Lonchura striata: one gene and its partners. The protein of the gene in region 3 binds, or shares a complex with, the protein of the main gene of each other region. Links are inferred from orthologs where the notes say so. Each region holds a gene or a part of one and is shown on either strand. Other genes may lie near its edges.

Evidence for each region.
Region 1: the proteins of TFDP1 (region 3) and RB1 are in contact, whole or in part, in a crystal structure (PDB 2AZE), measured with the Homo sapiens proteins. The link is inferred for Lonchura striata from reciprocal best matches to the Homo sapiens genes TFDP1 and RB1. Residues at the interface, in NP_009042.1 of Homo sapiens: Gln222, Glu225, Leu226, Gln229, Ile262, Val271, Asp273, Asp288, Asn289, Thr290, Phe291, Glu292, Ile293, His294, Asp295, Glu298, Arg302; in NP_000312.2 of Homo sapiens: Ile835, Ser838, Phe839, Thr841, Ser842, Phe845, Gln846, Ile848, Asn849, Val852, Cys853, Asn854, Ser855, Val858, Leu859, Lys860, Arg861.
Region 2: the proteins of TFDP1 (region 3) and E2F1 are in contact, whole or in part, in a crystal structure (PDB 2AZE), measured with the Homo sapiens proteins. The link is inferred for Lonchura striata from reciprocal best matches to the Homo sapiens genes TFDP1 and E2F1. Residues at the interface, in NP_009042.1 of Homo sapiens: Glu201, Cys202, Leu205, Glu206, Glu208, Arg209, Arg212, Leu213, Arg215, Ile216, Lys219, Gln220, Gln222, Leu223, Leu226, Ile227, Gln229, Gln230, Phe233, Lys234, Leu236, Val237, Arg239, Asn240, Arg241, Glu244, Pro251, Ser255, Val256, Ile257; in NP_005216.1 of Homo sapiens: Arg202, Leu203, Leu206, Thr207, Asp209, Leu210, Leu213, Gln214, Ser216, Glu217, Leu220, Asp221, Leu223, Met224, Ile226, Cys227, Thr228, Gln230, Leu231, Leu234, Asp239, Ser240, Gln241, Arg242, Leu243, Ala244, Tyr245, Val246, Thr247, Cys248.

The regions. Positions count from the first base shown.
Region 1 is NC_134604.1:61,979,465-61,987,167, reverse strand, and holds the start of RB1 (retinoblastoma-associated protein), read right to left. Parts: upstream 3,082-7,703; coding exon 2,993-3,081; intron 2,808-2,992; coding exon 2,690-2,807; intron 1-2,689. UniProt on the Homo sapiens protein: Tumor suppressor that is a key regulator of the G1/S transition of the cell cycle. The hypophosphorylated form binds transcription regulators of the E2F family, preventing transcription of E2F-responsive genes.
Region 2 is NC_134619.1:12,541,399-12,548,701, reverse strand, and holds the start of E2F1 (transcription factor E2F1), read left to right. Parts: upstream 1-4,222; coding exon 4,223-4,414; intron 4,415-5,084; coding exon 5,085-5,175; intron 5,176-5,744; coding exon 5,745-5,964; intron 5,965-6,327; coding exon 6,328-6,480; intron 6,481-6,595; coding exon 6,596-6,710; intron 6,711-6,816; coding exon 6,817-7,021; intron 7,022-7,266; coding exon 7,267-7,303. UniProt on the Homo sapiens protein: Transcription activator that binds DNA cooperatively with DP proteins through the E2 recognition site, 5'-TTTC[CG]CGC-3' found in the promoter region of a number of genes whose products are involved in cell cycle regulation or in DNA replication.
Region 3 is NC_134604.1:91,304,504-91,311,639, forward strand, and holds the start of TFDP1 (transcription factor Dp-1), read right to left. Parts: upstream 3,057-7,136; 5' UTR 2,945-3,056; intron 2,747-2,944; exon of another isoform or gene 2,728-2,746; intron 2,430-2,727; exon of another isoform or gene 2,274-2,429; intron 1,748-2,273; exon of another isoform or gene 1,653-1,747; intron 1,527-1,652; exon of another isoform or gene 1,497-1,526; 5' UTR 1,427-1,496; coding exon 1,415-1,426; intron 1-1,414. UniProt on the Homo sapiens protein: Can stimulate E2F-dependent transcription.

The DNA of each region.
Region 1 (7,703 bases), about 29 Mb from region 3:
GACAGCTGTAGTGCTTTTGAACAATCCCCCTCTGCAGACCTGTTTTTTACAACTAGAAGTCAGCCACATTTTCCAGAAAAGTTGTGTTACCATCTCTCTCGTCACCTTGCTCCTCCTCCACACCTGTCAAAGAGGTTCAGCTGTTTCAAGGACTCACAGCCCAGTTGCAATAGGGTGCACCTGTATATCCTTGACTCACATGCTGTGGAAACAGGTAACTGGAGACCACTGCAAGGAAAGCTAAAGTGCTTGGAAAGGAAGGGCAAGATAAGAAAGCTGAAATTTCAAAGTATCACCACTAGTAGCTCCAATGTTCAAAAGAAAAAAAAATATCAGAGTGGAAAGTTGTGACATCTGATGGAAAAAAAAGCAGTGGCTCCAATGGGCATTGGCATTCATTCCAGGGAGTAGCAGATAACAGGTTCTCTCCTCCTGGCTTACGCCTGCCTGGCCAATAAAATGTCTCACTGAAGCACAGGCACATTTAGGCTGCTAGGTCACGACATTCTAGCAATTTATTGTGTAAATGCCTGCCAAAAATAATTGCTTTATACTTCTAAGCCACATTTACCTGGTTTGCAGAGTCTCTACACATGCACCCTAAGCAACTCAAAAAGGACAGTATGCAAGATGTTTTCAAGTCATTAAATGTGCACTGAGCAAGGATATGGCAGATGTTCAGACTGCATCCAAACCCACATCTGCACCCTGAGTATCTGCCAGTTACCACGGTACCTAAAGTCTCGGCCATACTGCTTTCTAGTTACCAGTACAAGTGCCCTTCACGTCCTCAGAGATTTGGCAGGCACAATTCTAGTATCAACCACAATAAAACAAGGCCAGTGAGCCAAGAAAGGCAAGGTTTCAGGTCTTTGTACTTTGTAAATGGCTTGAGAGGTGGATTCTTAGATTCTACCTCTATTTCCATCAGCAGCCTTATGATTTAAGCTTTTTCAAGTCAAACCAACTACATTGCTAAACAGAAGTGTTCTGGTAAGTATTTGTCTCAACTGGTGGCCTGCTGTTTAACTTTTTGCTTGAGAACAGAAAGCTGCTACACAGCTTCTGCTCCAGTTCAGAACTGAACAGGTTACTACTGAACCTCACTGATCAAAACACATGCAGCTGGTGCTTGCAGGACAAACCCTGGGACTGCCCCTCCAACATAATACCTTTACCAGAGGGAAGAAAAGAGCAGCCTCCGCCTGAATCCCTGCAACTTGAAGAATAGAACAGAGTCGTCCTGAGAAGCCAGGCTTGCCGTAAGAGCTTGACTTGGGAAAAGAAGCAGCAACTAGCCAGGCTGTTACTTTGCTTGACTTCAGAGTCAGACAAAGCCTGCTCTCAGCTAGAAGTAGCAACTCCAGTGCCTTCCAGGTCCCCATGGAGGCACACAGTTGACAGCTTACTCATTTCAACACCCTGCAGATAGAGCTCTAAGTCTGAGCAAAAGGCCTTGGACTGAAATTAAATGTAGATTTTTTTTTTTCCCTGTACATTGAAAGACTGTCAACAAACAATTGCAAGACAACAGGTATTATTTATATATCATAATGAAGGTCTGGTTCTGAATAGGTAAAGGAAGCAATCTCCAGATGCTGAAAGGTTTCAACCACCATGTATCTTATCTGTTCACTGCTAAGTAATGATCAGTGAAAACAAAACTTTACCTGTAAATGAAATTTTCAGGATTATATTGCAACCTGCCTTGTTTTTTTTTTTTTCAATCAAGGGAAATGACTACTCCTGTTTTCATTCTTATAGAGGAACTTGACTATGATTTTAGGTGAATGTTTCCCATGAACACCCATGACCAGAAATTATATCTGTTACTGAAAGAGCTGTGCAGTCTCCCTTCCATTATATTGTTAGTCCATTATGTGAATGTATCAAGACCTGGTATATCCACACTGCAGTTTAAAAAACACAGATTACAAACTATTAGTAGTGACAGCATAGCTGTGACAGGTCAGCTCAAGTTGCAGAAGGGTAAGCAGAAGTCAGAACACGTACATCAATGCAAGTCCACACGGTGGGAATAATACCCCAGCTAGATATTATGCAACTGCATCAGGACTCTACAACAAAGCTTTTGCCATGATTTAGCTGTATTACAGCTGTCCTCTGAGCCAGCTCATACTGAGGAGAAGGAAAAGCAAAAATCAAGAAAGGCTTTATTAATCTGTTTACACATGCCTAATGACTAATTTGAACGGAAATGCCTCATTGATAAGCACAGGTTAACATTATGCAACAGAAAGGCAACTGTCTCTGCAACAGTCATCTCAATACCCTTTCTGCAGCTTCATAAAAGATGCAAAGGGGAAAAAATACACAGAAACACACAGTAAGACTACCTGTATAAAGCTGATTAAGACATATTTGAAATAACTTGCAGTTGGAAGAATTCGCTGATCACATGGTGCTATTTTCTAATGCCACTTGTTAGTTATCTAAAAGGACTCCTGAGCACGCACTTTTATCACAAAATATTAACAAAAAAGAGCAATCTACAGAAGCCGGTTTACACAGACGTGAACATGGCAACACCCCACTTCAGTCTACCTTCGCTTGGAAAAAGCAGAGTACGTGAGCTTTGGCTGTGGGAGCCCCGGCCGCGGCTGCAGCGAAGCTAGGGCGCAGCGCCTGAGCTGGGGCACAGGGCAGACCGAGCGATGCCGCTACTCACCAGAGCTCCATCCGCTGCCGACAAGCTCTCGTACGTCTTCCACGCTCTCTCCCTCACGCTCTCCGACACCTTCAGCGCCTCACACAGCGCAGCGAAGTCCGCTTCGCCGACCTCGACCCTAGGAAAAGCATCGCACATCGCCAGCGGGGACAGGGACCGCGGGGCGACCACGAGACCCACGCCACCGGCTGCCGGAGCCGCCCCGGGGTGACACCGCCCCGCACCGCCCACAGCCCGGCCCGCCGGGCGCCGAGAGCCCCGGGGCGGCCCGCCCGCCTGCAGCGGGGCGCCGAGAGCCCTTACCGGGGGGCGGCGGGCGGCGCGGAGCCGCCGTCGGGGCTGGGGCGCTGCGCCCTGGCGGCGCCCGCCCTGCGCGGGGGCTTGGGCGGCATGGCGGGAGCGGCTCCGGGAGCGCCCGCCGCGGGCAGCACTGACCGGGGCCGCTGCCCCCGCCCGCCGCCCGAACCGCGGGAAAACGGCGTCAGCGCCACTTCCGTCACTTCCGCGCCGGCGGCCGCGCCCCGCCCCGCCCGCGGCCCGGGCTCGGGGCGGGACCGGGGCAGAGGCGGCGCGGCGCGGCCCGGGCTCGGGGCGGGACCGGGGCGGAGGCGGCGCGGCGCGGCCCGGGCTCGGGGCGGGACCGGGGCGGAGGCGGCGCGGCGCGGCCCGGGCTCGGGGCGGGACCGGGGCGGAGGCGGCGCGGCGCGGCCCGGGCTCGGGGCGGGACCGGGGCGGAGGCGGCGCGGCGCGGCCCGGGCTCGGGGCGGGACCGGGGCGGAGGCGGCGCGGCGCGGCCCGGGCTCGGGGCGGGACCGGGGCAGAGGCGGCGCGGCGCGGCCCCAGAGCCGCCGCGGGAACGGCGGCCCCGCCGTGCCTGAGACTTCAGGCACTCAGCGAGCACAGCCGGTACATCTTTTCCGTGAGCTGGGAAGGAACGCGGGCCGGTGTGTGAGAATAACTGTACGGAATAACTACAGGCGCAGAGCGGAGCAAGAATTGCAGATCCTTTAGGATCTGTCGGTTCATGGAGACCAAGTGCCGGCCCTGCGCGCCGGTCACAGCAGCCGCTGGCAGCGCTGCAGGCTGGTGGCACAGCGGCTGGGAGTGGCCCGGGGTGAAAGGAGCTGGGGGTGCTGGTCGGCAGCAGCTGAATGTGAAGCCAGAGTGTGCCCAGGTAGCCAAGAAGGACAATGGCATCCTGGCCTGCATCAGCAACAGTGTGGGCAGCAGGAGCAGGGCAGGGATTGTCGCCTTGTGCTCGGCACGGGTGGGGCTATAACTCAACTGTGTCCAGCTCCTCTCGAGAAGAAAGTCCAGAGAAGGGCAGGGTAGCTAGGGAAGGGTCCGGAGCGCAAGTCCTGTGAGGAGTGGCTGAGGGAGCTGCGGGTGTTTAACCTGGAAACAGGAGGCTTGGGAGACCTTACTGCTCTCTGCAACTGCCTGAGCAAAGCCTGTAGTGAGGTGAGGGTTGGCATCTTCTCACAGGTAACAAGTGACAGGACAAGAGGTTGTGGCCTCAGACTGCACCAGGGGAAGTTTAGGTTGGACACCAAGAGGAATTTAATCATAGAAGGGATTGTTAAACATTGGAATGGGCTGCCCAGTGAAGTCACCATCCCAAAAGGTGTTCAAGAAATAACTAGACATGATGGCATTTGGTGCCATAGTCTCATTGACAAGGTGGTAGGTGACCAGTCAAAGGATGGCCTTGATGATCTCAGAGGTCTTCTGAGGTCTTCAAACCTAAATGATTCAGTGACGTCTCAATCTGAATTCATCCAAGTCCTAACTGAAATGTTATTTCTAGCACTGTGCAGTAAAATTACATTAATGTAAAAAGTTCAGGTTGTGGACATCTGGATTTTAAGTCAATGAGATTCAAATTGCCAGTGCTCTGATTCAAAGATCTTAGAAATCTGCTTTGTTGTCTGCAGTTGCATACTCACATTTAGAAGGCCAATCTCTGCTGTAAACAAGCATGTTTATTTTCAGACTTACATGATGACAACTTCTTAAAAAAGGAAAAGTATTTGTATGTAAGTATTCTTACTACCTGCACGTATCTGTCATTCACCTGTAAAGCAACTGCTTTTAGTGAGACTGCTGTCAAAACTCTGGATTTAAGAAAATCCCAAACAAAAATCAGCATGAGCATTAATGTGTTATACAATTAAAATTCCCTAGTATTTTTACAACCATACATTCTAGTAATTTGTTCAGGCGTGTCCTTTATGATTCTTAACTTAAAACAGGAGAACAGTGTCTGGCTTTCTGCTTTATAATTAGAATTAAACCAATTACAGAAAAGTGAATACAGAACAAATCAAAGTACATAAACTCCAAATTAAACGTTTGAGTTGTAGACTGTAGTGGGATTTGGACATTCCTGATTATGATTCTAGTAAAATTGTGGCAGTAGCTTTACCCTGCTTCTAAGCACATTTAAATACTTTTTGTATTCAGATGGTACCAGATGCTGTGGAAGGTTTGGGGTAGGACTGTCTGTCATCAACCACTGAACCACAGACAAGTAGACAGACCAGCTTGGAAAAGTAAGCTGAACCCCTAAACCACAGCTGAGTCCATTGCCTTCTCCTCAGAACTGGCTTTAAGAGCACAAAAGAATTTAAAATGAGAGCAAAGCATCTCAGAAAACTTGGTTGCAGCCAGTGGAGGCCATGCCAGCTGTTAGCAAGACAAACAAACACACCCTCCTGGGTCGCTTCCCTCGCAGCTGCTTTAACATGCTGTTACAGCCAGGCCCTGCATCGTCCAGATGGCAGGCAAAGAATTTGTCTCGTGGCCCTCTGTGCATTGCTCCTTTTAAAAAGTTCACAAACTAGCCTCAGTGTAAATACTATTTTTAAAAAATTGTTAGTGCACCAAGCACCTTGTCATGTCAAATTTTAGGTACTTTTTCATCAAGCAAGGCTCTGAGGGCTCCCCTCCATAAATAGGTAAAAAAAAATATAATCTCAGAATGCTTCAACTTACAGCTGGAAGGAGGCAAAGGGAACAGCAGATGAATCAAGCAAAAATAACCTTTAATAATCCATCCCAAAGCCTTGGGTATAGTAACTACATCTAAACTGCAGTAAGAAGAGTTAACATGTATGTACTTCCAAAGAAAGGCACATCCTTGTGTAAAACCATACTTAAGTTGCTGCACCTCTTTCCCCTTCTCCTTTTAAGACTTACTGATTTGAAAGTTTTAATCCTGTATTCTAAAACATCTTCTAAATGAAGCCTTTAGACTTTTCAGTAAAATTACAGTAAAATTACAAAGGAAAGAAAAAAATCAGCTGCTATTGGGGAAGCACAAAGAAAACACTGCAATGTCAAATAAAGTATTAATGATAGTTTTTGCATCTGATCTGACAAAACCTTCATTCTAAGCATCTTACTCCAACTGCTTTTATAGTATAGGTCACGGACATATGTGAAGCATTGTCCAGTTCTGACTCATTGTTTCCAGCCTTAGGTAATTTTGTTACATAACAAAAGACAACCTTAGGTAATTTTATTATCCTAATTTTTTCACTTAAAAGTATTTCATGGTAATTGCCAGTTGGAATTAAAGCCATTATTTCAATTATAGTAAAATCAGTTTTCTGAAGTTGTATGACCAAAACATCTGCATTTAAAACCCCACTAAATTGAGAGCTTCTGGATATAAGTCCAAATACTAAATATTGGCAGAATTTCTGCTCAAATAAAGCCCATAGGCTGTAAAACTCAAAGACTATAAAGATGTCTGCATGTATCACACCCATTTTCCTGCATGTAACAGGCAGAATTATCTAGGGAGGGGACAGAGGCTTTCCTAGCCAGCCTTTTCTGTGCATTCACATTCCTTGCACTGTTCAGCAGCCCCCAGCCCTCTGCCATCAGTGTCACCTGGAGCCCACCTGTCCTTCTCAAGCCCCAGCACGAGTGCTAACAGGAGCAAGGAGGTGCAGGCTAACTTTTCACCAGCTGCTGCCCTACAGGCCCCAGGCCTTAAGAAGAGCCTTTTTGGAGAAGCACCTGGTGCAGCAGGCAGACCCAAGTGACAGTCTTGCTGCAGGAGATCCTCAGGGACATTCAGGCCATGGCTTGAACAGGCCCTTTGCATTCCCCAGCATCACCTCCCCTGGTAACTCTGTGATTGTGCTGGCATCACTCTGCCTTTGAAATTGGGAAGGGTTTACTGGGGAGATGGGGTGAAACTGTTTGGTTGTTCCTCTTGGTGGTGGTGAGCCTGACCTTTGTGCCATTGTTTCCTACACAAATACACATCCTGAGATATGAAGAATAAAAACCCCCTCTGTAAGTTAATATTTCCACAGTGAGGTAAAATCCATAGGGACCATAACAAACATCTACCCATTTCTCTTTAAGATGAGAGGGATCTGTCAGACGTTGCCACTTGTAAAAATTCAAAGCCTCTCTCTATACATTGATATTATTATTAAAAAGAATACTTTTCACTCCACAGTTACAGGCATTGGTGGCTTGCTCTTCTCAGAGCACTACACAGGGCACTGCTGGACTCTCAGGACTGCAGTGATAAGTTTAAGGCAGGAATCTCTATTAATAAAACATTTGACCAAACTGCCAGTGGGATCTGAAAGGACACCACTGTTACTGGATGGGGAAATGGCTACATCTAAAGGATGCCTATGTGCAAAACCTCAACCCTTCACAGATACTTCCAGTTATTTTTCTTGGACATCAGAGAGGTTTTGCATTGATCAAGCTTTTAGACTTGAGTGTCACTTTCTTTTTACTCAGTTGTATTTTTTTATAGAGGAATCATAACTACTTATACAGACCCTCCACATTTTTTGTTCTCTGTGAGAATGGCTGTCAGAGCTGTGTCTGTTTTAACAGATTTGCACTAGTGCTGAGAGCCAGGGTACTAAAAAATAAAATCACTGACTGGTGCAATTTATCAGATTAAGCCCTAGTGACAGTGCAATTACATCAGACAAAAAATGATCATTCCTGGTATGGCTTTCCTTGCTTACAAGGG
Region 2 (7,303 bases), on a different chromosome or scaffold from region 3:
AGCTTTAGACACTTCTAGAAGCTTCCAGAAAGTGGCTTTGGTTTGCACAGAACAACGGTGACGGCTCAGGTGGCAGAGGTGAGGGACTGTAGGGTCAGGGCAGAACTGGGGGGGCTCTGGGCTTTCCCCAGCTGTGTGTCCCCACCACAGGCAGATTGTGCCACACTGCCAACTCACCATCTTGCGAACAAACCAGGGAACTGGGACAGGGACATTGGCAGGAGACCCCAGGGAAGTCCTGCTCTGCTCACATGTGACACACTCCCGGTGGGAACTGCTGGAGGTTGGGACTGCCTCTGCGATGGCAGGGACAGTAAATGTGCTCCTGGGACACCCACAGGCTGCCCTTAACCCAGCAAGGGGTTTGCATCCTGCAGCTCTCCTCCCCCCTGCTCCCGCTGCCAGGTGATTTTCCAGCGCAGGTACCAGCTGTGCTCCAGCTGCAGACTTCTCCCAGCACACAGCCTTGCTCTGAGTCTATCCCACAGTGCCAAACCCACCCAAACTCAGCGGCTGCCACGGCACGAGGTGTCTGAGCAGCCTTCCCACTGCTGTGCAGGAGAGAGCGGGGCTGTGCAGGCAGGGATGGGCAGACAGGGATGTGCAGGCAGGGATGAGCAGGCAGGGATGTGCAGGCAGGGATGGGCAGGCAGGGATGAGCAGGCAGGGATGGGCAGGCAGGGATGTGAAGGCAGGGCTGAGCAGGCAGGGATGGGCAGGCAGGGCTGTGCAGACAGGGATGAGCAGACAGGGATGAACAGGCAGGGCTGTGCAGGCAGGGATGTGCAGACAGGGATATGAAGGCAGGGATGTACAGGCAGGGATGTGCAGGCATGGATGTGCAGGCAGGGCTGTGCACGCAAGGATGTGCAGACAGGGATGAACAGGCAGGGATGAACAGGCAGGGATATGCAGACAGGGATGTGAAGGCAGGGATGTGCAGACAGGGATGTGCAGACAGGGATGTGCAGACAGGGATATGAAGGCAGGGACATGCAGACAGGGCTGTGAAGGCAGGGATGTGAAGGCAGGGATGAGCAGACAGGGATGTGCAGACAGGGATATGAAGGCAGGGACATGCAGACAGGGATGTGCAGACAGGGATGTGAAGGCAGGGATGTGCAGACAGGGATGTGAAGGCAGGGATGAGCAGACAGGGATGTGAAGGCAGGGATATGAAGGCAGGGACATGCAGACAGGGATGTGCAGACAGGGATGTGAAGGCAGGGATGTGAAGGCAGGGATGAGCAGTCTGGACTTTATCGGGAGCAGCACCTGCCGCACGGATAATCTCGGGAGCACGTCCGCGCTCCTCAGCGGGGCTGCCGGGGGAGGCTGCAGTTGTGCAGGAGACAGAATTCATCTGCTTCCCCTCACCCACATGCCAGAAAGGCCCTGCCCGTCCTTCTCCCACCAGCGTTCGCCTTTCATTTGTCTCCACAGCCGCCCCTTTTCGCGCCGCCGGCGCTGAAAGCCTCGGAGAAGTCGAAGCGCAGCCTCCGGGAGAGGGGGCAGAGCCTGCTCCCCCCGAAGAGCTCCTGCATGAATTAGGGGGGTGAAGGCAGCCTTTGTGAGCCGAGCGGGAGCAGCTGGTGCAGCAGCTGTGTCCCAAACCCTGCCTCATCCCAGGAAGCGCCGGGCTGAGGCTCCCCAGGGATGGGGAGAGCACCGCCAGCCATGCGCTCCCGCCCGGCTGCTGGGGTTGCCTTTTTCCCCCTTCCCCAGATGGAAGAAGCATTAACTGTGTGCAAACATCTGGTCTAACTGTTGCTTATGCTTCCTAGTAATGATGATATTGCAGTGGAAGGGCTCTGGAGAGTGGGGCCCGGAATATTAGAAGGGCCAAGTGTTAATTAACTATATTAATTTCCTTTAAGCAAGGCAGCGTTTCTATTTGCTCTCTGCTGATGAAGAAATGAGGCACAGCGAGTTTATTGGATTGGTCACGGACATGCACCATGTTACTGCTGTATTTAAGGATGGAGGGACCCAGGGAAATCACAGCCCTGCTCCACACTGGCCACCCCCAGAGGAATTGCAGCCACTGCCAAAGCATCCAGCATAAAATCCTTTAAAGCCAGAAACCTGTTAGGCCAGCACAGGGGCACTGCATGTCAGGATCTGCTCCACAGCAAAGAGGTTAACTCATCCCTGCAAATGCCTCCTGCATCCCACGCACTGCTGGGAAAACAGCCCTTCTCCTGCAGTGCTGGGAAAACAGCCCTTCTGCAGTGCTGGGAAAACAGCCCTTCTCCTGCATCCCGGGCAGGTCAGGGTTGGCAGCAGGAGCCAGCACTGGCTCACAGCTCTGCCTGGCAGCAGCAGTGGGCTGGGGGTCACTGTGCTCGACCACCAACCCCCGGGGGCACGTGGGGGGCACAGAGGGGTCAAACCCTGAGCTTGGCTCAGCATGGGTTTGGGTGCTTGGATCAGACCCCTCTACAAACTTTCCTCATGAGCTTCCCCATGTCTGGGCCTTGCAAAAAGCCTAATCTTTAAATGCTTTTTAATTTTTTTTTTTTATTAGCAGGATGTACTTTTTTCCTTTTTAATTTTGCCTCCTCATGCAGCAGGAGGTTATCAGTGTCCTGCAGACAGGAGATACTGGTGCTGGGAGCTGCCTGTCCCGTGTCTCATGGGTGGACTCTCATCTTTCTCAGCATATGGGGCCACTCCCGGCTCCGTCTGCCGTCCCTGTGTCCCTGCCTCTCCCCAGCCACACGCTCCCACGGCCGGAGATAGCGCCTGGCACGGTCAAGTGCAGGTTGTGCTCCCGGCAGAGCTTTTCCTCTGCCCTCTAAGGGGTTATCAGCCATTCCTGAAGGAGCTGCCGAGATCCGCAGCTGTTTGCAAACAGAATGCCGTGAATCCCCGGGCAGACGGATGGAGCAGATTGCAGCATCCCAGCCCTCCCGTGTGCGCTGGGCCCTGGAGCAGCGTCAGAGCCCGAAGCCTCCAGATTTGTCGGACAGCCTCAGCCGTGGTCTCGGGGCTGCTTCCACAAGGGAGGTGGACAGCCCTGAACCGAGCCCTTCAACGCCCCAGCGCCCAGACAGAAATCCTGCCCACGGCCCGCAGCACAGGAGAGGAGCCACTGATGTCCCCACTGCGAGGCATTGCTGCGGGGGGCCGGGCCAGGCTGGGCTGGCTGTCACCCCCGGGCAAGGGGAACACACGGGGGGCAGCCTGCGACGCCCCGCAGAGCCCAAAGCCGCCCTCTTCCCCAGCAGTGACACCCGTGGGCGGGCGGAGTCCGCAGGGCAGGGGAGCGAGCTGAACTTTGCTCGTGGGTGCGTGCCCCGTCCTCCCGCGCCATCCGGAGCGGGGAGCGGCCGCGCCCGCAGCCGGAAGCGCAGCACCCCGGCGGGGCTGAGCCCGGGCCGGGACCGGCTCGGCCCGAGCCCTGAAATCCCCACGGCTGGGAACACCGGCAGCCGGGGCCGGCTCGGAGCGAGGAATCCGCGGCGGCACACGAGGGGGACACCCTCTTGTCAAACAGGGACACGGGAGGGGACACCTCGAGAGGGACACGGGGGACACAAAGAGGGACACGGAGGGGACACCCCGAGGGGGACACGGGGGACACAAAGAGGAACACGGGAGGGGACACCCCGAGGGGGACACCGAGACACGGAAGGGGACACCCCGAGGGGGACACGGGGGACACAAAGAGGAACACGGGAGGGGACACCCCGAGGGGGACACCGAGACACGGGAGGGGACACCCCGAGGGGGACACGGGGGACACAAAGAGGGACACGGGAGGGGACACCCCGAGGGGGACACACGCAGCGCGCGCCGCACCCGCGCTGCGCCCCCGCCGCGTCCCCGAGCCGCGCTCCCATTGGCCGCCGCCCGGGCGCGGCGCCGCTGATTGGCCGCCTGTCAGCGCGGCCCCCGCCCGCCAATGGCCGCGCGGCACCGCCCGCCGCCCCGCGCGCCGCGGCCAATGGCAGCGCGTTCTCTCCTCCCCGCCGAGGCGGGCGCAGCCAATGGGCGGGCGGCGGGGCGGCTCGCGCCGCTTTTCGCGGCAAAAAGGATTTGGCGCGCAAAGGCGCGCGGGGCCGGCGCGCCGAACAATCCGGCGGCGGCCGCACCGGAGCCGGAGCCGGAGCCGGAGCTGGAGCGCAGCGGCCCCGCGCCCGCCATGGGCCGCGCCCCTGTCCGCGCCCTGCCCGCCGCGCCGCCCGCCGCACCGGCGGCACCGGCTGCCATGTGAGCCATGGCGGCGGCGGGCGGCGCGGCGGGGCTGGCAGCGCTGCTGGGCAGCGCCTCCCCGCACCTCCTGATCGTCTCCGCCGCCGAGGAGCCCGCGGGCGGCGGCCACCCCGATACCGACCTCCTGCTCTTCGCCACGCCGCAGCCCGCCCGCCCCGGCGCCGCGCCCAGACGGCCCGCGCTGGGCCGCCCGCCGGTAACCCCCGCGAGTGGGATGGGGAGCGGGCGGGGGCCGGGCGGGGGCTCCGGGGACCGGCGAGCCCGGGCTGTGTTCCGAGCTGTGCAGTATTGGGCCTCGAACCGGCCTGTAACGACCGGGCCGTATACCCGACCGGGCTACACCGAGCCGGGCTGTACAATGGGCCCGGCTGCGTACCGGGCCGTGCTATGTAGCGAGCCGTGCCAAAGCCAGCCGGGCTGTACAGCGGACAGGGCTCCGTACCGGGCCGGACCGTATTTCACCCTGCTGTGCCCCGTGCTGTGCCATATGCCGTGCCCTGCTCCGTGTCAGCCCGTGCCCGGTGCACCCGGCTGTGCCAGGCTGTACGGCCGGGCCGTGCCACGCAGCACCTGCCGGGCCGGCCCTGCCCCGCCGCCGCTCCGGAAGCCGCAGGCCCCGGCGCCGGGCCGTGCTTGGCCTCCCCAGCCACGGCCCGGTCGGCTTTGGGGCGCTCCCCGCAGCGCGGCGGGGCCCCGCGGCTGGGCCAGCCCCCATCCCTGCCAGCGGGGTGACAGCTCTCATCAACCCCTTCCTGCCGGGATCCGGGGTGTCTGTACCCCACTGTGCTGTGGGGGGTCCTCACAGAAACCCTTCACAGCAGTGGGGCCTGGGGCGGCTGTCCCTGTGCTGACCCCGGCCCTTGCAGGTGAAGAGGAAGCTGAACTTGGAGACGGATCACCAGTACATAGCGGAGAGTTTGCCAGTGAGCCGGGGCAAGGCCAGGAACCCCGCTAAAGGTACCGGCTCCACTCCCCCCGGCCCCCTTGCCAGCCCAGCTCAGAGCAGAGGTCCAGCAGCCCCACTCTGCTCCCCCAGGCTCATCCTGGTAGCTCCTTCCAGGCCCTTTGTGTCGGTGTGGATGGGCTGTTCCCGGGGCTGGCCTGCCTCTGTCCACCCTCCACACTCACTGCTGTGCCCTGTGCTGGTGGCATGGCTGTCCTGCCCTTGTGCTGGGCACCCCTCCGGCTCTGTCCCTCCCCGTGGGATGGAGCTGTAGGTGCCAGCATGGTGTCAGTGCAGTGTCCCAGGTGGACCTGCTGTTATCTCCCCCCAAGCCCAGCCTGGCACTTGGTGTCTCAGTCACAGCTGTGGTCACAACGGAGCACAGGTGTCACAGCTTGTGCCAGGTGCTGCAACATCCTTCCTACAGGGGATTTGGGCAACTCACCCCGTTGCCCTGAGATAACAGATTGGGTTTGGGGTGCCAGTCCTGGTCACTAGTCCACAAGCCACCTGCAAGTATGGCAGGAGTTTTGTGACCTTTCAGCTTCAGCTGTGGATGAAACTTGTCCTCCACGTCTGGCAGGGGCAAAGTCTCCTGGAGAGAAGTCCCGCTATGAAACCTCCCTGAACCTCACCACCAAGCGCTTCCTGGAGCTGCTGAGCCAGTCCCCAGATGGTGTGGTGGACCTCAACTGGGCGGCCGACGTCCTGAAGGTGCAGAAGAGGCGCATCTACGACATCACCAATGTCCTGGAGGGCATACAGCTCATCACCAAGAAGTCCAAGAACCACATCCAGTGGCTGTATGTCGCTGGCTCATGGGGCTGTGCCTGGCTGTTCCTGGGGTGGGGGAGCTGTCTGGGAGGAGGAGGGTCTTACCTGGGTGGAGAATTTCAGGGCGGGGTCACCAGAGCTTCTGCTGCAGGCCAAGTGGTGGCTCCCTGTGGGGACGGCTGTGCTCAATGGCAGGAGGGTCCTGCGAGTCCCCCTGGGACTCCCCGAGTCACCCAGGGGAGGGGAGGGCTGCATCCAGCCTTGGGGGAGCAGCACTCTGCTGCAAAATCCCTGCAGGGCTGGTTCCCTGCCGGGGGGGTGGGATGTGGCCTGGCCTGGGTGGGGCCCTGGAAGCTGTGGGAGCGGCTCCTGATGGACACGGTGCTCCCCAGGGGCAGCCAGGCCACGGTGGGAGCGCCAGGCCGGCACCGGCTGCTGGAGAAGGAGCTGCGGGAGCTGCAGGCGGCCGAGCGGCAGCTGGATGACCTCATCCAGATGTGCACGGTGCAGCTGCGCCTGCTCACCGAGGACCCCGCCAACCAGCAATATCCTTTGGTTCTGGGGTGGGGCTGGCTGGGTGGGGCTGTGCTTGAGCCGCGGTGGCACAGGCAGGGAGTTTCTCAGCCCACATCCCCGTGTCCCTTCCTTGACCCACCCCACCGCAGCCTATGTCACCTGCCAGGACCTCCGCAGCATTGTGGACCCCGCGGAGCAAATGGTGATGGTTATCAAAGCCCCCCCAGAGACCCAGCTGCAGGTCTCAGACCCAGCAGAGGTGAGTTGGGGTCACGTTCTGCTCCTGCTGTGCCCTCCCTGAACAGCCCCGGCTGTTCCCTGGGTGTTCTTGTGCCACCTTGTCTCACTCCTGTCCCCTTCCCCAGGCATTCCAGGTCTCCCTGCGAAGCACTCAGGGCCCCATTGATGTGTTCCTCTGCCCCGAGGACAGCTCTGGGGTCTGCAGCCCCGTCAAGAGCCCCTTCAAAGCCCCTGCAGAGGACTCTTCTCCCAGCCATTCCCAGCCCAGAGCCTCCCTGCTCCTGCATCCTGCCCAGGATGTGAACATGCCGCTGCTGCCTGGAGAGCAAGGTGGGCCTGGGGACACGAGGGAGCTGGGGACACGAGGGAGCTGGGGACACGAGGGAGCTGGTGGGATGTCACAGTGGCTCTCATCAGCCCCTCTGCCGTTGGCACAAGCAAGGAGCTGCCATGCTGCTCAGGCACCCCAACAAGGCAGGGAGGTGGGAAGGCAGCAGCTCCATAGCCAAGAAAGCTTTTTTTGGGGTTTCTTTGGAGACTATTATGGGATTTACAGCTGCTTCCCATCCCCACAGAAGCGCTGCTGCCAGGGCCGAGCGCAGTGCCCAGCAA
Region 3 (7,136 bases):
AAAACCTGACCTAGATATTAATTTTTCCAAATTCAGTTTATTATTTCTTTAAAGATACTTAAAGCCATTTCTTCTCATATCTGTAGTACCTTGTCCCATTTTTTAAGTATATTCTGAGGTAAGTTATTCCTTCCTTTCTTCCTTAACTACTCTCTTTGCAAGAATAAACTAGATCTTTCAAAAATAAGGTTTGTTCTTAAATGTCTCATTCTCACTTAGATCCAGCAGGACGTTCATCTGTATTTCCAGGTGCTAGCAACTCTTCACTTAGTTGATCTCTCTCCCAAAAGATAGTATTAAACAAATGTACTTTGGCATTTCAATTACTTTGAGCTATTTCAATTCCAGCTCCTAGTATAACACTCCACTTTCGTTTTCTTCCCGCTTATATGGCCTATCATTCCCTGAACTCTGCTATCTGTAGTGTACTTGGCCACCCTTATCTCTTCCAGGCAAGCTTTGAGTGACTACGTATGTCTGGTTGCTTCTCCACACATTAAGATGTTTTTCAGCTGAACTACTAAAATTCCCTACAAGATTATTTTTTAAGCCAATCACTCTTTCATGGAAATCAACACTATTTGAAAGCTACAATATTCCACATTAGGCTGCAACCTACTGTTTAACCAGTGAATTGTATCACTTTTCTTTAGCTTGCATGCTGTTGGTTTTTTAGGGGTTTTGGGCTTTTTTGAAGGGGACATATGCTCTAATTTGAATACAGACTAGCCATTGTCTTATTTTCAATAAGAAAACATGAAAGCCCTATTATATTAGGTATGAACAATGACTGACATCTTAAAGGCAGAATAAACTGAATTTTTTTTAGTAGGTACCAGAAGGGGTGAAGAGCAAAGGTGCTCCAAAAGGCAGGCCACAGAATCAAAGTTGAAACTTTAACAACAGCAGTAATGGAAATCTACGGTGAAAGTTCCCAAAGCCTGTTTTTACAGACACCAACAAGCATCATTTGGTAGACAAAGATAAACTATGAACACATATGGAGAATGAACCATCTTCCCTCAAATGTCTGATGCCTTCTTGAACTCAAGAAAGGCAACGTTAGTTGACAACAGTAGTCAACGACAGCCCTGCCATCTGAACAACACGTGCTGAGTTTTTTTCAATCCAATCCAAACCCAAGCTGTTTTAGTGTTCAATGTGAATGCACATAATGACAACGGCCCAAGCGCCGTTATTAGCATATGGAATTCGCAACATTAATCACTCTGAAAAAATGGCAGCGGATCTGAAGCTGTTTTACACTGTCTACAGGAAAACAGCCTAGGCTTGATGCACAGAATAAAGTTCCACATACTCATTAATGGCAGCTATTATAAAGCCTGACCCCGTTTGCTTTTGTTAATAGAAACATTCCATGCTTCCACGTTTTATGTGCTACAAATATACTTACATCTTTTGCCATGTTACCAAAGACTAAAAACCAGTCGTCTTAAAATCTCGATGGCTGCAGGACACAGGGACAATGCTATTTTCTGGAAAGCAGAAAGCAAAGACAGCACCAGCTATAAAAAAATGAAAGGAGGGAAAGTTTTTACAATTGAAATTATTGACTACTACCAAGTACAATTTAGGCTTATTTTTGAAAAAACAACCATGTTTTTAAAAAGGGAAAAGTTTCCCATCATCACCTTTTCGTCCCTCGAGCCCCAGGCTCACGTGTGGGGGGCACTGCTCTCCCGACGGCGGGGGCGAGCCGGCCGTGCCCCGGCAGTGAGAGCCCTTCCCCCAGCCCGTGCCCGATCCCACGCGAGGCCGGTCCCTGTCCAGCTGCGCCCCTTCCAACGCCGAGCGCGGGCAGCGATCACGGCCTCCTCCTCCCCACCCCCATTTCCAGCAGCAGGCACTAGTAGGCCCCAGGGGCAGCTCCCCCCGGGGCCTTCCAACCCCGCTTTTCTCCTCCTCCTCGCAGGCGGACGGGCCGCGGCCACACCGGGCGGCACAGACCGGCGGCCGCCCCTGCGGCTCGGGCACCCCGCGCCCGCCCGCGCCCCCCGCCCGGGGCCTCACCGCCCGGGCAGAGCCCCGAGCCCCGCGCCGCCTCCCCCCGGCAGCGAGGGGCCGCGCTAATCGCCTCGGCGGCGGGGGCGCGGGCAAGGGGGGACGCGCCCGGCGGCACGGCCGGCGGCCGCGGGGGGAAGGGGCGGCGGGCGGAGTGTGGGTCCGCGCCGTCCCCATCCCCATCGTGCCCGACCCGCCGCCGTCCCACGCAGCCCCTGGTGCTCCCATCCTCGGGCGCGGGCTGCCCGCACCTGAGCGGCCGAAGGCAGAGAGAGCCGGCTCCATCCCCCGCCGCCGCCCGGAGACAGGGACCCGGAGCGCGGAGCGGGAGCACCCCCCGCCCGCCGCGCTGCTGCCGCCGCTTCTGCTGCTGCCGCTGCGGAGGCGCCCGACTGCACATGTGCGGCGGCTGCGCGGGCCTGGCGGGAGGGGGCAGGGGCGGGGGGAGGCGGCGGGACACCGACATCGGCAGCCCGGGAACAGGGGAGGGAAGCGAGGAGGGAGGAGAGGGCACCGGCAGGGACCGCCTTTCCCCCCCGCGTTCCGGGGGAGGGGGTGCAGGGAGAAGAGGCGGCGGGACAAGAGGGTCTCCCCGGCGGGCTGTCACTTCCCAGCGCGCCTCTGCCCCCGCCGGCAGCCGGCCCGGCGGGCTCCCGGCCGGCCGCCCCCGCACGCCGCGGCCCCGCACGCCGCGGCCCCGCACACCTGCCCAGCGCCGCTGCCGCCGAGGGGCTGCCCGCGGGAACGGGGGCGATGCGGGTAAACGAGCGGGGACGAGCGAGCGCAGCGATCCTCCCCTCCAACCCTCCCACGGACCCTGCGCGCGCGACCCCGCCACTCTTCCCTCGTCTCTTCTTTTTTTCTTTTTTTTTTTTTCTTTTCTAATAAAATGTAAAAAAAAAAAAAAAAAATTGAAACTTACACTTTTGTGCGTCCCCCTGACGCTGCGCGCTGACGTCACGGGCGCGGCGCGCCTCGCGCGGGCACACACGCGGAGCGGCCAAGCCAACCCGGCCGCCCGCCGCTCCAAGGCGCGGAGGGAGCCGGGCATGGAGCATGCGCGGGATTTTCGCGCCTTCTTCCGACTCCCCGCCCGCCCCGCGGTGCCGAGCGGTGCCCGCGGGCGCGGCCGCGCTGCCGGCGCGGAGCGGGGCCGGCCGGGCAGGGCCGTGCGGTTTCGTTGCCACAACATCCTGCTGCCGGTGCTTCCTCATCGCGTCTTGTCCGGCCGTTACTCGAGCAAAGTTTCGCTTGCAGCGATCGTTGCTAAAATTAGGGTTTTTTTGGTAATCCAAGCGAAAGTTTTCCTTCGGGCGGCTGCAGCTCTTAACCTTGCGCCCAAAAGCAAAGCACCGCGGGCGGTGCAGCCTCTGCGTGCCATGACGACCGCAGAAACAGAGCATGTTAGCGAGGGTTATGTGATGAACTTACATCGTTGTCCTGTAAATTTTGGGGGGAAAAAGCAACCCCAAAACCCACAGCGTTGCTGGGGGGCCTGCAGAGGCAGAGCCGTCATAGTGGGAACTGCAGGAAAGCAAGGAAAGCTCAAGAGCCGTGCTCATCACCGCTCACAGGGGTGGATGCAAGGCTGCTCGATGGGGGAGGAAGCTATACACAGTTCTGCACGCAAGAGCAAGCCTGCACGGTACAAGGTTGCTCATAACGCAATGAAGAGAGGAGCAGGAAGTAAAAGGCTCGTTCTTTCGCTAAATTCATGCTGCTTCCTGGGAAAGACGACTAGGTGGGAATAGAACACACGACCACAGAGCCGCTACATTGCAGCAGCAGACAAATCCAGCAGAGAGAATGCTGGAGGAGATGCATTTCACGAGTCTATCAGATTCGCATTCACTTTTACACCTTACTCTGTTGTTTTGGGGTTTTTAAAAGACGTTGAATTGTTGTGCTTTACCATAATAATGAAACACTACGTTCATTTTCCTGATAAATAGCAGTCTTTGGAGTTTTTTATTAACAATGCCTCTCCCACCTCGCCCCACCCCTCCCCCCGCCCCCTCCCGTGCTGCTGTAGGGTTATTACCCCATTTCTTCTTTCCTCTTGATTTAAGATTGACGGGAAAGGCCATCGAAGAAAGAAGGTAATAATGAAATTGTGTTAATAACATTATAACATTTCAGAAAACAGCAAAAACTTTCACACACAAAACACATAAGCCAGCTGCAGAAAAAAAAAATTGCTTCCTGAAAGACATCTCCAGTTGATAGTGCTCCTCTCCACCCTTTAGGTCATATATACTGTGCCTGAGGGTTCAAACCGTCTATGTATCTCACATCCCTATCCACCCACCTCCCGCTCTTTTGTTTTACATTAATTCTTGTAGGAAAAACACTTGCGAGTCAACAGAACAAGCACAAACAAGGAGTGTCCTAGTTCGCTAGAATTTATTTTGATACATGCTAACTGCCCAAACATGCTCAACTCTTAGGTAGTGGTTTTTTTTTTTTTGTTTTTTTTGTTCTTTAGCCGAGGGTTGTTTGCAACTAATTTGAAGTGTTTGTACCGGTGAAAAAATTTTCAACACTTCTCTAATCTCTGAGCACACCTTTTGCAGGTATTTTGTTGCTTTAGGATTTCGTTTGTGTTCGTAGCGGTGGAAAGCTATTCCACTTTATAGTTTTCTGGGAAGTGTCTGTCCCTTTTAAGGGTGCACGAAAATCAGAACAGATCATAACTTTAAAGAGCATCAGTGCGGCAGGACTGCATGACAGACGTGAGGAAATTGTCTCAAGAGGTCATCTAGTCTATAGGCAGAAAGCTTCAACAGATGCCAGAGGAAATGCACGCGAATGGGGAGCCATGCAGTCTGAACACTGTGATCTGTGCAAACTCATGACTTAAAGACCTCATGTCACCTGACCACCTTGTCAACATCTGGCCTCTTGGGGAGGTACCATCTCCCAGTTATCGAATTTCCACTCTATTTTAGGATATAAAAAATACAGCTTGGTACCATAACTGAAATTTTTACTACTCTCTGATACAGGTTTTTCCCACAAGGCAGGATCAGCTATCCCTAAGTCGCTCTTGCCACAATGTTGTCCAGTTTGCTGTCTCCAGCCAGCAGAAGGTTTTCCTAGTCCCACTGTCTTGCAAGTGTCATTAAGACCAACCCAGCACTGGTAATTACTCAACAGAGGTGGTGGGAGAACCCAAGGAGCAAATCTCCTGAGTGAAGTTGGTAGAGGTATGCTTTTGCCTTCTGCCTTTATGGGTTGAGTGGGCTACACATATCTGAGCCCTAAGGACATCTCACTGTTCTTCCTTCTCCCTGCAGTAGTTTTGTTGGCTCCCTGGTTGTCAGGTCAACACTGGATCTCTGATACTTTGCTGCTCCTTACAAGCTATTGCATTTCCCACAAAATAGCAACACTGTTAGTGTGGCTCGCCTCTTGTCATTCAGGGATCCCGTTTCCTCCACCTTTGGCACTGCCCACATGCTGGAATACTGCCAGGACTGGTTACTGAGCAGAACTATGGATTCCTTCCCTAGACAAACCCCAAGAGTGCTTTTGTGGTTGGATTGTTCCTGGGTTTGTGCCAACAGGCAAGACCACACTAGATTTCTCACCCCCTCTATTAAGCATCATCGTACAGCAATATTCTGTCATACAAGGCACTCCCACATCACCCTGCAAAACTGAGGATGTCCAATCATAAAACAAGTGAAATACAAGCTTTGTGAGGATGCTTTTCCTCATATTTGAGAATGATAAATTCTCAAATAAATGATGAATTTTTACAGCTTTTAAAAGGCTATGTAGTGCCATGGACTTAGTCCAGCATCACATTCTTGAGCCATCCTAGACCTACATCAGCCACAGTTTCAGGAAACCACCTCACAGCTCCCACAAATACCTTCCTACTGACAAAATGAAGCTACCCACTCTATATGGGATAAGCCACAAGTAGGGTGGTTGTGGGTCCATACATACTAATCTGACCCCAGGGCCAGGGAAATGGCTCACAAAGCAAAGCCCACACTACCAGCTTTTAAACTACTTTGGTTCCTTTATCTTCACAGAATTATCAAGGATAGCAATTAAGGGGTAACACATAAGAACTCAAATTTTCAGAAAGCCATGCCAAATAAGCACAGCTAAATCCACCTACAAAATAAATAAACCAACCCCCCTCCCCCCCCCCCAAAAAAAATGTCAGCCCCAAAGTAGCTGAATGAGTTGCAAGTCAAGCATAGAGTAGACCTTCCTTTTCACTCCCTTACGTTCAGCTTCACCATAGGAATATCCTCTCATCACTTAATAAGGCTTCTGCTCTGTATCAGCTTTTCTGTATTAAAATTATACTGATCATTAGTTAATGAATGAGATAGAACCACTGTCCAACAAGCTGGAACAAGAATTTCCAGAAAAAGACCATTGTTTTTCAAGAAACCTTCAACAAATCAGTAGATTTTCCTTTCAGGGCTTCTGGAACTCTGCTTTAATTTTACCTGCTTAACACAGAAGAGAATATTCCACAGTACAAACATAAGGTTTCTGAAAAGCTGCAATTATATCTAAGTGGGCTGATTATGCAATATTCTCCCCATTTTTCATACAGGAATGAGTGATCATTCAGGAATAAGGTCTGTTGTTTCTGTCCTAAGATCATATCATGAGACTACCCCATTTGGACATGGAATTATGCATGCAGCCATTATTTGCATTTCAGGAAACATTTACAGTATCTCAATATACCTCCAGATTTCTATGAGGCAATCTCAAATGTCTGCAAACAAACTTACGATATGTCTGTTAAGATTACCAATTTGCGCTTACATCTAATACTGAACCAGGCAACCCAAGTCTGTGTCAACAAGGAGGCACAGAACACACAAGGCTATTCCTCTTCCCCCAGTTCTCCTAAAGCCTAGCCAAGTTGTCCCGGTTTTGGCCAGGACAGAGCTTTTTTTTCCACAGTAGGCATGAAGGGGTGGAGCCTGGAGTGGGCATGTGTACCTTGTTATTCTATACCATCCTACCTCATTGCCAGAGGCAGGAAAAAGGGACTCCCTCTCTTCCAGGAAGAAACTGTTGTTGTCTTGGGGTCCTCTTTGTATGATTTTGTTATTAATATCGATGCTATTACTGTT